Canis lupus familiaris: one gene and its partners. The protein of the gene in region 1 interacts with the protein of each later gene in a pairwise test. Links are inferred from orthologs where the notes say so. Each region holds a gene or a part of one and is shown in the gene's direction. Other genes may lie near its edges. The genes, in order: HOMER3, EAF1 and FRYL.

Evidence for each region.
Region 2: the proteins of HOMER3 (region 1) and EAF1 interact in binary tests that used the Homo sapiens proteins (3 or more experiments, as listed by UniProt). The two-hybrid records come from large-scale screens. The link is inferred for Canis lupus familiaris from reciprocal best matches to the Homo sapiens genes HOMER3 and EAF1.
Region 3: the proteins of HOMER3 (region 1) and FRYL interact in binary tests that used the Homo sapiens proteins (3 or more experiments, as listed by UniProt). The two-hybrid records come from large-scale screens. The link is inferred for Canis lupus familiaris from reciprocal best matches to the Homo sapiens genes HOMER3 and FRYL.

What each region holds. Positions count from the first base shown.
Region 1 is NC_049241.1:44,587,861-44,591,605, forward strand, and holds the start of HOMER3 (homer protein homolog 3), read left to right. Parts: upstream 1-1,142; 5' UTR 1,143-1,278; intron 1,279-1,384; exon of another isoform or gene 1,385-1,914; intron 1,915-2,259; exon of another isoform or gene 2,260-2,953; 5' UTR 2,954-3,021; coding exon 3,022-3,035; intron 3,036-3,114; coding exon 3,115-3,271; intron 3,272-3,522; coding exon 3,523-3,654; intron 3,655-3,745. UniProt on the Homo sapiens protein: Postsynaptic density scaffolding protein. Binds and cross-links cytoplasmic regions of GRM1, GRM5, ITPR1, DNM3, RYR1, RYR2, SHANK1 and SHANK3.
Region 2 is NC_049244.1:27,713,017-27,716,761, reverse strand, and holds the start of EAF1 (ELL-associated factor 1), read left to right. Parts: upstream 1-1,224; 5' UTR 1,225-1,302; coding exon 1,303-1,405; intron 1,406-1,635; exon of another isoform or gene 1,636-1,714; intron 1,715-2,709; exon of another isoform or gene 2,710-2,724; coding exon of another isoform or gene 2,725-2,749; intron 2,750-3,368; coding exon 3,369-3,463; intron 3,464-3,745. Other genes in the region: tRNA N(3)-methylcytidine methyltransferase METTL6, read right to left, coding at 1-43. UniProt on the Homo sapiens protein: Acts as a transcriptional transactivator of ELL and ELL2 elongation activities.
Region 3 is NC_049234.1:45,165,068-45,168,812, reverse strand, and holds the start of FRYL (protein furry homolog-like), read left to right. Parts: upstream 1-847; 5' UTR 848-887; coding exon 888-960; intron 961-3,745. UniProt on the Homo sapiens protein: Plays a key role in maintaining the integrity of polarized cell extensions during morphogenesis, regulates the actin cytoskeleton and plays a key role in patterning sensory neuron dendritic fields by promoting avoidance between homologous dendrites as well as by limiting dendritic branching.

The sequences.
Region 1 (3,745 bases):
CCAGCCCAGATGATTCTGGTCAGGGGAAAACAGAAATAAAAACAGGGAAATGAGACGGGGCGGAGAAGGCAAAAAGCAAAATCTCTGAGATTGTTGGAAAGCTCAAGCATGAGGTTTAGGGCTTTAGGGAACTGTAGGCCTCGGTTTGAGGGAGCTGCAGTGCCTCTGTCCACGAACCCGATGGCACTGTGTGACTTTGGAGGAGTCCAGAGAAAGGGCAGCCACTGGACTGCCAAGTAAGTGGGTCCCACAGGCAGACCCTGGCCTGGGGAGGCTGATCCTGGCTCATCTCCAGTTGGACCCTCTCCTGGCAAGTGCCTGAAGGGTTCCCCCTGACCAGTGATGGCAAACCCAGGCCTGAGGACCTCCAGGAGATTTGCACAATTGGTGGGAGCTGGGCCCCAATATTCGCTCTACCCTGGCTTCTGAGACCCTATAACATAGCAATACTGATAATTCGACCATGTTGGCATTGTTACCTTCCTCTCCTGGGAGACAAGGTGGATAGAAGCCTCTCCCCAACAGGGGATTGGAGCTGGGGGGGGAGTCAGGCAGGAACGATTCCTAACGGGGCACCCCTGATCAAGTCTCATTAAGTGCCTACTGTTTGCCTCTCTCAGCCTCTTCTAGCTTTCGCCCAGCCTGTGTCTGTTTCATTTCCAGGCTACACCCACTGAGCACCTACTGTGTGCAAGCACCCAGCTCCGTGCGATAGAGGAGCCCCGGCCTCTAGATCCCTGTCAGGTGGAGAGGGACTCCCATCAAAGGCAGAAGGTCATGACCTCAGGCAGTGCCCCGAGGGCCAGGGCCGCCCCGACAGGACGATCAAGCCCCATCCTCCATCTGTCTGCCTCCTGTGTCTCTCCCTCATGTCTCTGCCTCTGGGTCTGGGTCTCTGTCCCCATCCGCCCCGGCCCTCTTCCCCGCTCTTCACCCCGCCCCCCGCCCCCAGGGAGTCCCGTCCCGCCCCGCTCCCGGCTTCCGCCCCTCCCTTCCCCCCCCCGCCGCGGAGGGCCGGCAGGGGGCGCTGCGGGGCGGCCTCGGCGGCCCGGGGAGGCGGGGCGGGCGGCGGCCGCGTCGGGACCGGCCGCGATGGGACCGGAGGCGGCGCGGGCGGCGGCGGAGGCGCAGACAAAGGCGCGGGCGGCGCGGAGGGCGGCGCGGAGGGCGCGGGCCCCGGAGCCAGCGAGCGAGCGGGGCGCCCGGCTGCGGGGAGTCGGCGCCGCGGGGCAGCACCCGACTCGCGCCCGGACACTCGCGGGGCGCCGAGCCCGCAGGGTGAGCCCGGCTGTCCGAGCCTGCGCGGGGGACGCGGGGGCCCCCAGGTGCCAGGGCCGGGGCGAGGGCGCGGGGGTCCCCGAAGTTCCGGGCCGGGAGGCTGGGGGCGGCCGGGGAGCCCCGAAGTTCCAGGGCTTGAGAGGGCGCAGGGGCCCCGAAGTTCCGGAGCCGGGGTCGGAGAGGGCACGGGGCGAGGGGTTCCCAAAGTTCCGGACCCGGCGTTGGAGGAGGCTGCGCTGTCCCCGACGTTCCCGGCCTGGGGTTGGGAGGCGGCACGAGAGGATCCCGAAATCACCGACCCGGGGCTGGAGAGCTGGCAGGGAGTCCCCGGAATTTAGAAGTCGGAGGTGGTGCGAGGGATCCCCGAAGTTCTGGACCCGGAGTCGGGGGGCATCGCGCGAATCTCGGAAGTTCCCGGGTCGAGGGTGGCACTTCCCGAAGTCGGGGAGCGCACTGGGCGCCCCGATTCTGACGCGGATGGGAATTCTTTCCTTACTGAATACCAGGCCCCCCAGCCCGGGGCGCATGGGGTGGGGCTTCGCCCCCACACGCAACTGGGGATCCTGGCACCGGGCGGGGTCCGGGCCTCCTCCGGGAGCCCCGCGGCCGGCGGCGACCGAGGCACATGACTAGTTGGTGAGTAACTTTCCCCAAAGCTGCAAGTCGCGGCAGGACCGTCAGGGCCGGCAGGGCCTGGGTTTCTGGGACCCCTGCACCCTGGAACCCTGCTTCGACCCAGGACTTGCTCCCAACCCGGGCCAGCGCTGCCGCCCCTCCCCCACACAGGGGCTCCGGTTTCAGACCCTGTGACCCGGGCAGCAGCTGCCCAGGACAGGGTGGGGGGGCAACCCTCCTCTGACCAGGGAGGCCGCTCCGCGGGGGGCCTCCCTTCCCCCACTGGCCACCTCCCTTCCCCAGGTCCCTCCTGGTCCCCTGCAGATCCCCCAGATGCAGGTTTTGGAGGCACAGAGGTGAGGTTAAGGAATTCTCCAGGGCAGCCATTCCTGGTATCTGTGAGGTCGTGGCTGGAGGCAGCAAGAGGGGCTGGGGATCTCCCAATCCTTGATGCCACCCAGCCCTGCATGGTATTGGGATAGAGTGGTCATGGGCAATCGGTTAGTGGGTACCAGGGTAAATTTGTTTGACTACATCTTCTTAACTAGGCTGGCAGCTCCCTGGGGATTTGGACTCTGCCTCCAAGTGTGCCTCTGCCCTAGAGTGGAAGCTGAGGGGTCCCTCTGTGGGATCTAGGAGGAACTGGTCTCCCAGGAGGCATCTGGTGATGGCCACATTTTGATGGAGATCCTGGTTTGGGGAGTGATGAGTGAATGTGGCAGAAAATACCAAGTAGGAGTTCACCTTGGCCTTCTCTATCTAGCACCAGTATTGAGGGGGTGTCACTCTGGGTTCAGTAACCAGCATGCTGACAAGTTTATGCTGGGAGATCCAGGGCCACCTGGCTCCTCTCGGAGAGTCATCTCCTGCTCAGGGTGTGTGGGGGCTTCCTCCCAAAGGAGAGGGACAGGGTGTTTTTGCTGAATGATCTGCTGATTCCTTTACCTTTCTAATTGAGGTTCTATGAATGGTGTGGCTGGTGGTGGGTCCTGAGGTTGGACCCGCTTGGTTTCCTTAAGCCTGTCCTGGGGAGACACTCACAATCCCTCTCTCCCCCCAGAGGCTGAACCCGCAGCTCCTGCCATCCCTCTGGCTGCCTCTTGGAGCCCACCCAACCCAACCTGACCAATGTCCACAGCCAGGTGAGCCCCTGCCTCCCCAGCTTGGCCCTGAGCCCCCTGGGGGATGCCTAGCCCCACTGAGAACCGTCTCCCCACGCAGGGAGCAGCCCATCTTCAGCACACGGGCACATGTGTTCCAGATTGACCCGGCCACCAAGCGGAACTGGATCCCCGCGGGCAAGCACGCACTCACGGTCTCCTACTTCTATGATGCCACCCGAAATGTCTACCGAATCATCAGCATTGGGGGTGCCAAGGTCCTGGCAGGGCCTGGGTGGGGGTGGCAGGCTCCTGAGGTCTCAGAGGCAGGTTTGGGTCTAGTCATTACCCTGCTGTGTGCCTGGGGGCTGGGGGTTGGGAGGAGCCCTTAAATCAGTCTCTGTCTTGAGATGGCTCACACCTAGAACCTCCCAAGAGCTAATACAAAGTGACACCCTGGGGGTCTCATGTTCATTATTGTCAGTCTCATCAAGCTTGAATTGTGTTCCCCCCTCTTCCCTCTTCCCAGGCCATCATCAACAGCACCGTCACCCCCAACATGACCTTTACCAAAACCTCCCAGAAGTTTGGGCAGTGGGCAGACAGTCGTGCCAACACCGTCTATGGCCTTGGCTTTGCTTCTGAGCAGCATCTGACCCAGGTGGGCTTGCAGGATTACATGGCGGGAAGGACAGGGCTGGCCCTGGGGTTCCTCTTAGGGCCCTGGGGGCCTCTGGGCAGGTGCTGTAGAA
Region 2 (3,745 bases), on another chromosome or scaffold:
TGAGAATCCTTGCCTGCAGCCCTTTTCTTTGCAAAGAAGCCATCTCCTCAACTGACAGGCATTACTGTTAACAGTGCTGAGGACTCTCCATCCCTGAGGAACCCGAGGACTCCAAGCTGATATTGCAGACATACAGAGGCAGGGTTTTTTCGGATGCAGTTTCTCAAGATTGGATTAATCCTGATTGGATTTCTCAGGCAGCACTGAGCCCTTGTGCAGGAGAAAGGAGATTCCGTTAGTGGCTTTAGAACAGTTTTTAAGACGCTGGGTTGGTGGTTCTAGAACATTTCTGTCACCAAACAGTTCAGACGCTGACTCGACACAACCTGGCCCACTACACAAGAGGTCGGTCACAAAGACCAAGACGCAGTCCCTACCTTCAGACAGACGGCCAGGACTCTCACGCACCGAACCACAAGTCAACTATTATAAACCGCTTTGCTTTTTAAAAAAGGACAGGCCCAAGGACTGACTGAGGAACCTTAGGGAGAAGACGCTCATCGGTTTTCGGTGCCCGCGACGAGGGGCGACTTAAAACAACCATGAGAGCTTCCCGAGGTGGCGACAGGCGGTCAAGTGGGGTCACCGTCGCCCAAGGATCGGAGACTCGCTTTGGGGGAGGGGGGAGATTTGGAGCCAAGCCCGGCGGCCTGAGTCTCTGATCGCACTCCCAAGAAGCTGTCTCACGAACCAGTGGGGGCGTCGCTTTCCAGGGGCTGGGGCTCCGGCTCCTCCATTAACGCGTGAGGGAGAAGAGGCCAATGACGCGCGGGGCCGGAGCCGTCGGGCGGAGGGCGCTCGGGAGAAACCAGGCCGCCGCGGCCGCCAGGGCCTGCGGAGAGCCGGCCACGCTGGCTACCGGGCCCGTGTTCACCTAGTTCGCCGCGCTCTCGGGCTCACCGTCGTCGGTTCTTACATTCGCCTGATCGGGGAGGGCCGGACGCCCTCGGCCCTCAGCCCGGCTAGGGGAGCCGCCACGCGGGGACAAACCCGCCTCAGGCACCTCACCCGGCGGAACCCTCAGCCATGGCGCCGCCCCCGCCACTTCCGCCTCGGACGCAGAGGTCCCGCCCCGCCGCCGGAAGTCGCGCGGCCCTGCTTCCGCGCAGGCCTCCCCCGCCCGGCCCGCCCCGCCGCCGAGGAGAGGACCTGCTTCCGGCCCCGGGTGGGCGCCGGCTGGGCTCGCCGCGCGCCGCGGAGCGCGGCCCAGGGAGCGTCGGTCCCCCGGACGCTGGCGCCGGAAGCTCGGGCCGCGGCTGCGCGGGGAGAGCGCCGGTGCGGGCGCGGGGCTCGGCGAGGGCCATGAACGGGACCGCGAACCCGCTGCTGGACCGCGAGGAGCACTGCCTGCGGCTCGGGGAGAGCTTCGAGAAGCGGCCGCGGGCCTCTTTCCACACCATTCGCTGTAAGCCGGCGCTCCCCTGCGTCCCTTTCGGCCGCTGCCCCGCCTTTGCCAGCCCGACCCCTCCCTCGGCCCCCGGCCCCCGGCCCCCGAAGCCCTGGAAGCCCTGGAAGCCCTGGAAGCCCCTGCCCACGTCAGCTCCCTTCTCTTCCCCTCGATCCTCCGGGACCTCAGTCCCCCCGCCCCCACCCCTCCTTTTTCCCAGCTCGCTTCCAAACCAAACCCTCCGTCACCCCCAACGATATTCTTGTGCCTTGTGATCCCAGATACTTCTTCCGAAGGTGGTCGGCCCCCTTGCTTTTTCGTCCGCCCACTCGGCCCTTCCTTATGCGAAACTGACCCCCCCCCCTCTTTATTACGGAAAGACCGTGACCTCACGTCGGCCTCCAGGTCGCCTGTGGGCCATCCCCCTTTCCCAGGGCCCCGCCAGGGTCCTCCACGGTTAAAGGGCCCTTCCCGTCTGCTCGCGAGCCTCGTCGCCTCCCTCCCCTTCCATCCCCTTCTTCCCTGCCCTCCTCAGCCTTCTTGCCTCGTCCGTCTTTGTTCGGGCCACCCCGAGCCTGCGCTCCATCTCCTGGGCAGCCCGAGAATCCGCGTCCCCCGTGCGCTCCGTCAGCGTCTTCCCCCCTCTAGCTTTGCGTGCCTCGTCGGACCCTGCTGTCTTTTGAGGTCACCCATCCTACCCACACTTAAACCCCGTACCAAGCCCCATGTGGGCGACGAATAAAATTAGCATTGGTGAGCCTGGAGTAAGTTAAAGCTTGGTGAGCTATGTTTGGAAGCCGAGGAGGAGGCCTAAAGACCAGCCAAGTAGTCATTATGCTGGACCTTCCTTTTCTGCGTGATTACAGACTCTGTGGAGGGAGGGCACGTCCACTCCAGGCCCTGCGTGAAGTTTCGGCTGTTAGGAATGGGCTGACTGGAGCATCCCTCTGTGATTCACAAGCTCCTGGTTTCCCGTCTTGGTAGTGCTCGTGCTGGTTAAGACTTGTTTTTGTCGAAGGAGCTAATAAAAGTGACTCAACACATTGGAAGAGGGCGTGTTGGGAGAATGAAGTTCCATCTTTCCGTGGTCACTTGCCTTCCCATTACCGTGTCTCCTGCTGACAGCAGATCGGCTTTCTCAGAGGGTAGATGTGGGTGGGGAATGTGACAGGAGCATCATTTCCTGAGCAGTTTCCTTAGTTGATGGTTTAATAGGGTGAAGGGCAGTGCGGAATTTGAGAGGCTTCACATAAGCACCTGGCCTGCAGCTTGAGACCAGTGTATGTCAAAATGGAGAAAAATGACTATTCATGTTGTACTTTGGCAGCAGTTGAGAGATGTGGGCAGGATTAACCTTTGGAGGTGCAGTTCAGCCATCTGCTCTGTACTTTTACAAGAGTGTTTTTATTTTTGTTAAAGCTATAGAAGTTGAGTGTGGCAAATTCTGATTTTGAGTTTCTTTGCAAAATGAAATCAGTTTATGTGGTACTGTGGCCTTCCATGTTTCATACTGGGCTTAACAATCAGAGAATCTTTCAAAAATGCTGTGTTTGCTTTTGATCCTGTACGCAACAACCCTAATAAAACACCTTATGGATAATGGGGCGTTAATTTTCATCTGTCACTTGGGAGAAGGGAGTATCTTTGCTTAATAAAATGGTATATGAATTCTAGCTTTTTTTCTTCAAAATGATCCAGTGGGGATGGGAGGAAAATATGTGGGAGGTATAGATGAAACAAAATTGTACCTAAATTGGTAATTATTGAAGCTGGGTGACAGGACACCGAGGCTCATATTGTACTATTCTTTGCTTTTGTATATGTGGAATTTTCCACAATGAAATAGGTTTTTTTTTTAATTCTAAATTTGTATTTTGCATTTATCTGGAGTGACAAAAAAAATTAATGTTTAAATAAGAATGCCCAGGAGGCTTAGTATAAGTAACTTGGTGGATAAATGCTCTTTTGCTTTTCCCTTTAGATGACTTTAAGCCAGCATCTATAGATACTTCATGCGAAGGAGAGCTTCAGGTTGGCAAAGGAGATGAAGTCACAATTACACTGCCACATATCCCTGTAAGTTTATGCACTGTGGAATCACAGTGAATCCTCATATTCTTTTATTGCGATTTGAATTTCCTACTATTTACAAACTTCTAGATTTCTAAAGTTCCAACATAAGGAAAAAAGGAATTTTGGGGGTGGGGTAGGGTGGAATTCATGCTTCCCAAGTGCTTGAGTAAAAATGATTCTTTGCCATTTTCCCCAATCTCCCTTTTCCCCCCATTTGCTACAAAGTAGACCAGGTTCCTATCTGGATACATAGCCCCTCTTTTAGATTGGCATAGCTTTTTTTTC
Region 3 (3,745 bases), on another chromosome or scaffold:
GTAAGCTTTTCTAGGGGAATTATGTGCTATATTAAGAATAGAAGGCCCTATATTTTGAAATAATCCCATTACTATAACAGAATTCCCTCTTTTGAATAAGTTGCATGAAGCAGAGGAAACTTTGTCCTGAGCTGAGCAGTTTTTAGAGGGCCGATGGGGGCTCAGCCACAGTGTTCATTACATCATCTTTTCATCCCATTTAGCCAGCGTTCTCTCTGGTGGGTTCAGTGAGGCCGTGGACTCGGTATCATAACCCTGCTGAGAAAGTCACTGCTTACTGCCTGGGGGTAGTAAGGTAGAAGGGCAAAGAGAAGAGAATGTACTACTGAAATCACCTAGAGAAAACTGATACTGGAGTGGGATAAATACCCCTGAGTCTTTTTTTTTTTCTTTTTCTTTTTGGTCAGCTGTTATAGGAAGAGATTTAAAGCTCTTAGGCCAGACCTGAATTTATTTTTATTCCTTAGGCCCTTAAGTGAGAAAAGTTGGCATCCAAGGGCAGAGCTCTACCCTTGTGTGTTTACTAGCAGTCAGTAGTGACTACAGGGAAGGCAGCCGGAGACACACAGCTCATCAAAACTGATAAGCCCGGGAGCAGAAGCAGAGAAAGATTCTTGCGGCCACGTGTATGCCTACCTAAAGAAAGGTGATGATGTCCTTCAGGGCACTTGTAATAAACTTGTAAGCTTTTATTCAACTGGATAGTTCATCTGCATTCAGCAGCGTTTCCACTATAGTTGTGCGTCACTGCGAGACTGCATGGTAATGAAGCCAAAGCACTGTGGGCCAAAACTCTGCTGCCTGGGAGAGGAGAAGGGACAGCGGCTTGGAGAGATAGATCAACAAACCGGAGGCTGCTGCTGCTGTAGCAGCCCAGTTGAGACACAATGTTGAGCCTACAGGATTCTGTGTTTTTTGAAATTAGCATAAAGTCCTTGTTAAAGTCCTGGAGCAGCAGCTGTAAGTATATATATTCCTAAATGGGAGAAATGCTGATGTATGATCATGGCCATTCCTTGCATGCTAATCCTTTAGACCAATCCAAATAGAATCAGAGCTGTTGAAAATAACACGAGGAGTATTTTCTTGGATGGTAGTCAGTGAGAGGGTTAGAAAATCTGGATGTGTACACACTGGGCAGTCGTACTATTGGCGGTTAAATAGTCTTTGACTGAAATTGACCAGCGTTGGTTTTCTTGTTAATTTTTTGTATGGTTCTGGCAAAGTTTCTCTCCATTGGTCCGACATAGGGGGGGAAATGACAGATAGACTCCGACCTCTGCAGGGTTCTCAGATACCAGTACTATTCCACAGTTCTGTTAGGACAGAATGTTTGTTTGAAGCAGCATCAGCTGTCTGAAAGCATCAGATGATTTAATATAATGCTCATAAGTTTTCCCCTACTCCTGTAATTGAAGTTACTAGGAGGATTTTTCCTGTATGTAGTGAGTTTTCTGATAAGGAACATTCAAAGTTCAGGTAGGTCAGTAAAACTAATGTCGTTGAGTTGTCATGTTGTCCATAACTCCCTTCCCAATATGTGAATTTGACAGAAATCCTGATTTTGTTCAGTATTTCTAGTATTTTCCAGTGGTACTTTTCTCTGAAGACCTGAAAGCACTTCTAGAAATGATTTATTACCACAATCTGTGTTTTTTTTTTTTGGTCAAAATTATCATAATAATATGATATCAAACTAATGGAGTAATCGAGCAAAGATTCTGTTGTAATGTCTGTTTTGGCCAAAGAAAACTAAAACATAGGGGAAAAAATGTGACTTTACCAAGGTCATACAGTGGCAAAGAACTGGAATTAGAACTGAGTTGTTCTTGCTCCCAACTGTGCTGCTGGTGTCTGAGCAAACTACTGAATAAAATATGAAAGACCTAAATTTAATTTTTTCCAGTTGACTCTTTACCAAAATATTTACTTAGCATAGTTTTGTAAGCAAATAATGTAAAAGGCCAAATGTTGATATAGGGGGAGAAAACCTCTTAAGGGAAAGCCTTACAGAATAGAATTTGAAGAGATTTGTATTTTGCCAAATATACTGCACTTACAATCTCCGTATTTCTTTTATTTTTGATCTGTAAGTAATTCTTCCATATGGAGATGTTGTTCTGCCAGATGGCAGAAAGTTATCTTAGTTCTAGGAAAGTTTCTAAGTGAATTAAAATATTGGGAGAATTATAATTGAATAATTATAATTAAATAAATTAAAAATAATTAAATAAATTATTTAATAAATAAAATAATTAAATTCTAAATAATTAGAATTATAATTGAATTACAATTGAATTGTAATTACTAATTTAAATGAAGTACTTTTACTACTTAAAAGGGTAATACAGAATGCATTTTTACTAAAACCGACTGTAGTTTCTAATCTCTCTTGCCCCTTTGTCCCTCCTTCCTCCATCCTTACCAGGTACTTTTAAAAAATAGTAAGACAGGTTTATAGTGATAATAAAGCTCTAACTAATGGGCTCTTGTATCAGAACAGTGCATTAGATTATATCACAGCCTGAGCTTGTCTTGTAAAAACTTAGTTTGCTTAGATACTTGTGAATTATGTGGTTATTTTGTTTTGTGACCATTTAAACATTTCTACATGTCATTGCCCTAACCCTGTAACCAGCCACAGCCAAATCTCATGTAATCACATTCCCTGAATCCAGAAGTGAACCAAAAACAGATGTTTGTAAAGCCTTTGTCGTTAGCTATTAGTATTCTAATGATTCAGTTTGTGGGCATCCCGTTTCCCTTGGGCAGTCATGGTCCACATCTCGTGAAGGTGTTTTTACTGTTGTAAAGCAATAGGTTAATGTGGAGAGGAGAGACAAAGTCGTTCACCAAGACCCTGACTAGGTCGTTCTAGCCCCAAAAGTGGGAGACTGTTTTTCTTTTACCAGTATCTGTGGAAGTCTTTTTAAAATCTTCCCTTGGCCCTTTATTGTATTTAAAAAGGAGAGAGAGAGAAGATAAAAATATTTTTAAGACCCTAGAGAAGGATGGTAGTTACCTCTCTCTTCCAGGGGTTGTTTTCATAATCCAGCACTTGAATCAGCTCACATTGATTGAGCATATACTGTACTGAAACCACTAAATGTGATCTTGGCTCATAAGGAGCTTCTAGTTTCATCAGAGAGTAAATATGCATGTAAAGTTAACAGTAAGAAGTTAACCGAGTGCTGCTGCATATGCATCATGACTTACCACGTGACTGTTACATGTGACAAGAATGGGGAGTAAGGAGACCAAAGGAATCCTATTGAACCACAGGGGACAGAGAAGACTTACAGGGAAAGGAATTTGAGTTCAGTTTTGAATGACAGGATGTTCCCCACCATGGTAGACAGTACTGTACCCACAGTCTCCCTGAGCCAGAAAGTAGGTGTGGATCAACAGCCCTCTCTCACCAATACACCACCTACACTCGCCACCCCTACTCCCCTGCCCCCAGCCACTTATCAAAATGTGTTGTCCTACCTTCTACAGTTTCCTTAGTCTCTCCTGCCTTCTGTTCCCAGAGCCACTTAACTTGGTTCAGGCCTCTCTTCATTATCATCTGGATTATTGCCAGAGCTTCCTTTTTGTCTTCTTAGCCTCTTCCATGTTGCTGCCAAAGGCTCCTTCTAAAAGCCCGCTCTTCCCATCTCTCTCCATCTTTTATCCCCCATGGGATGAAACCTTTTGTCATCCAGCCCCTGCTCATTTTGTGCCTTCCTTTCTTGCTGTGCTTGCC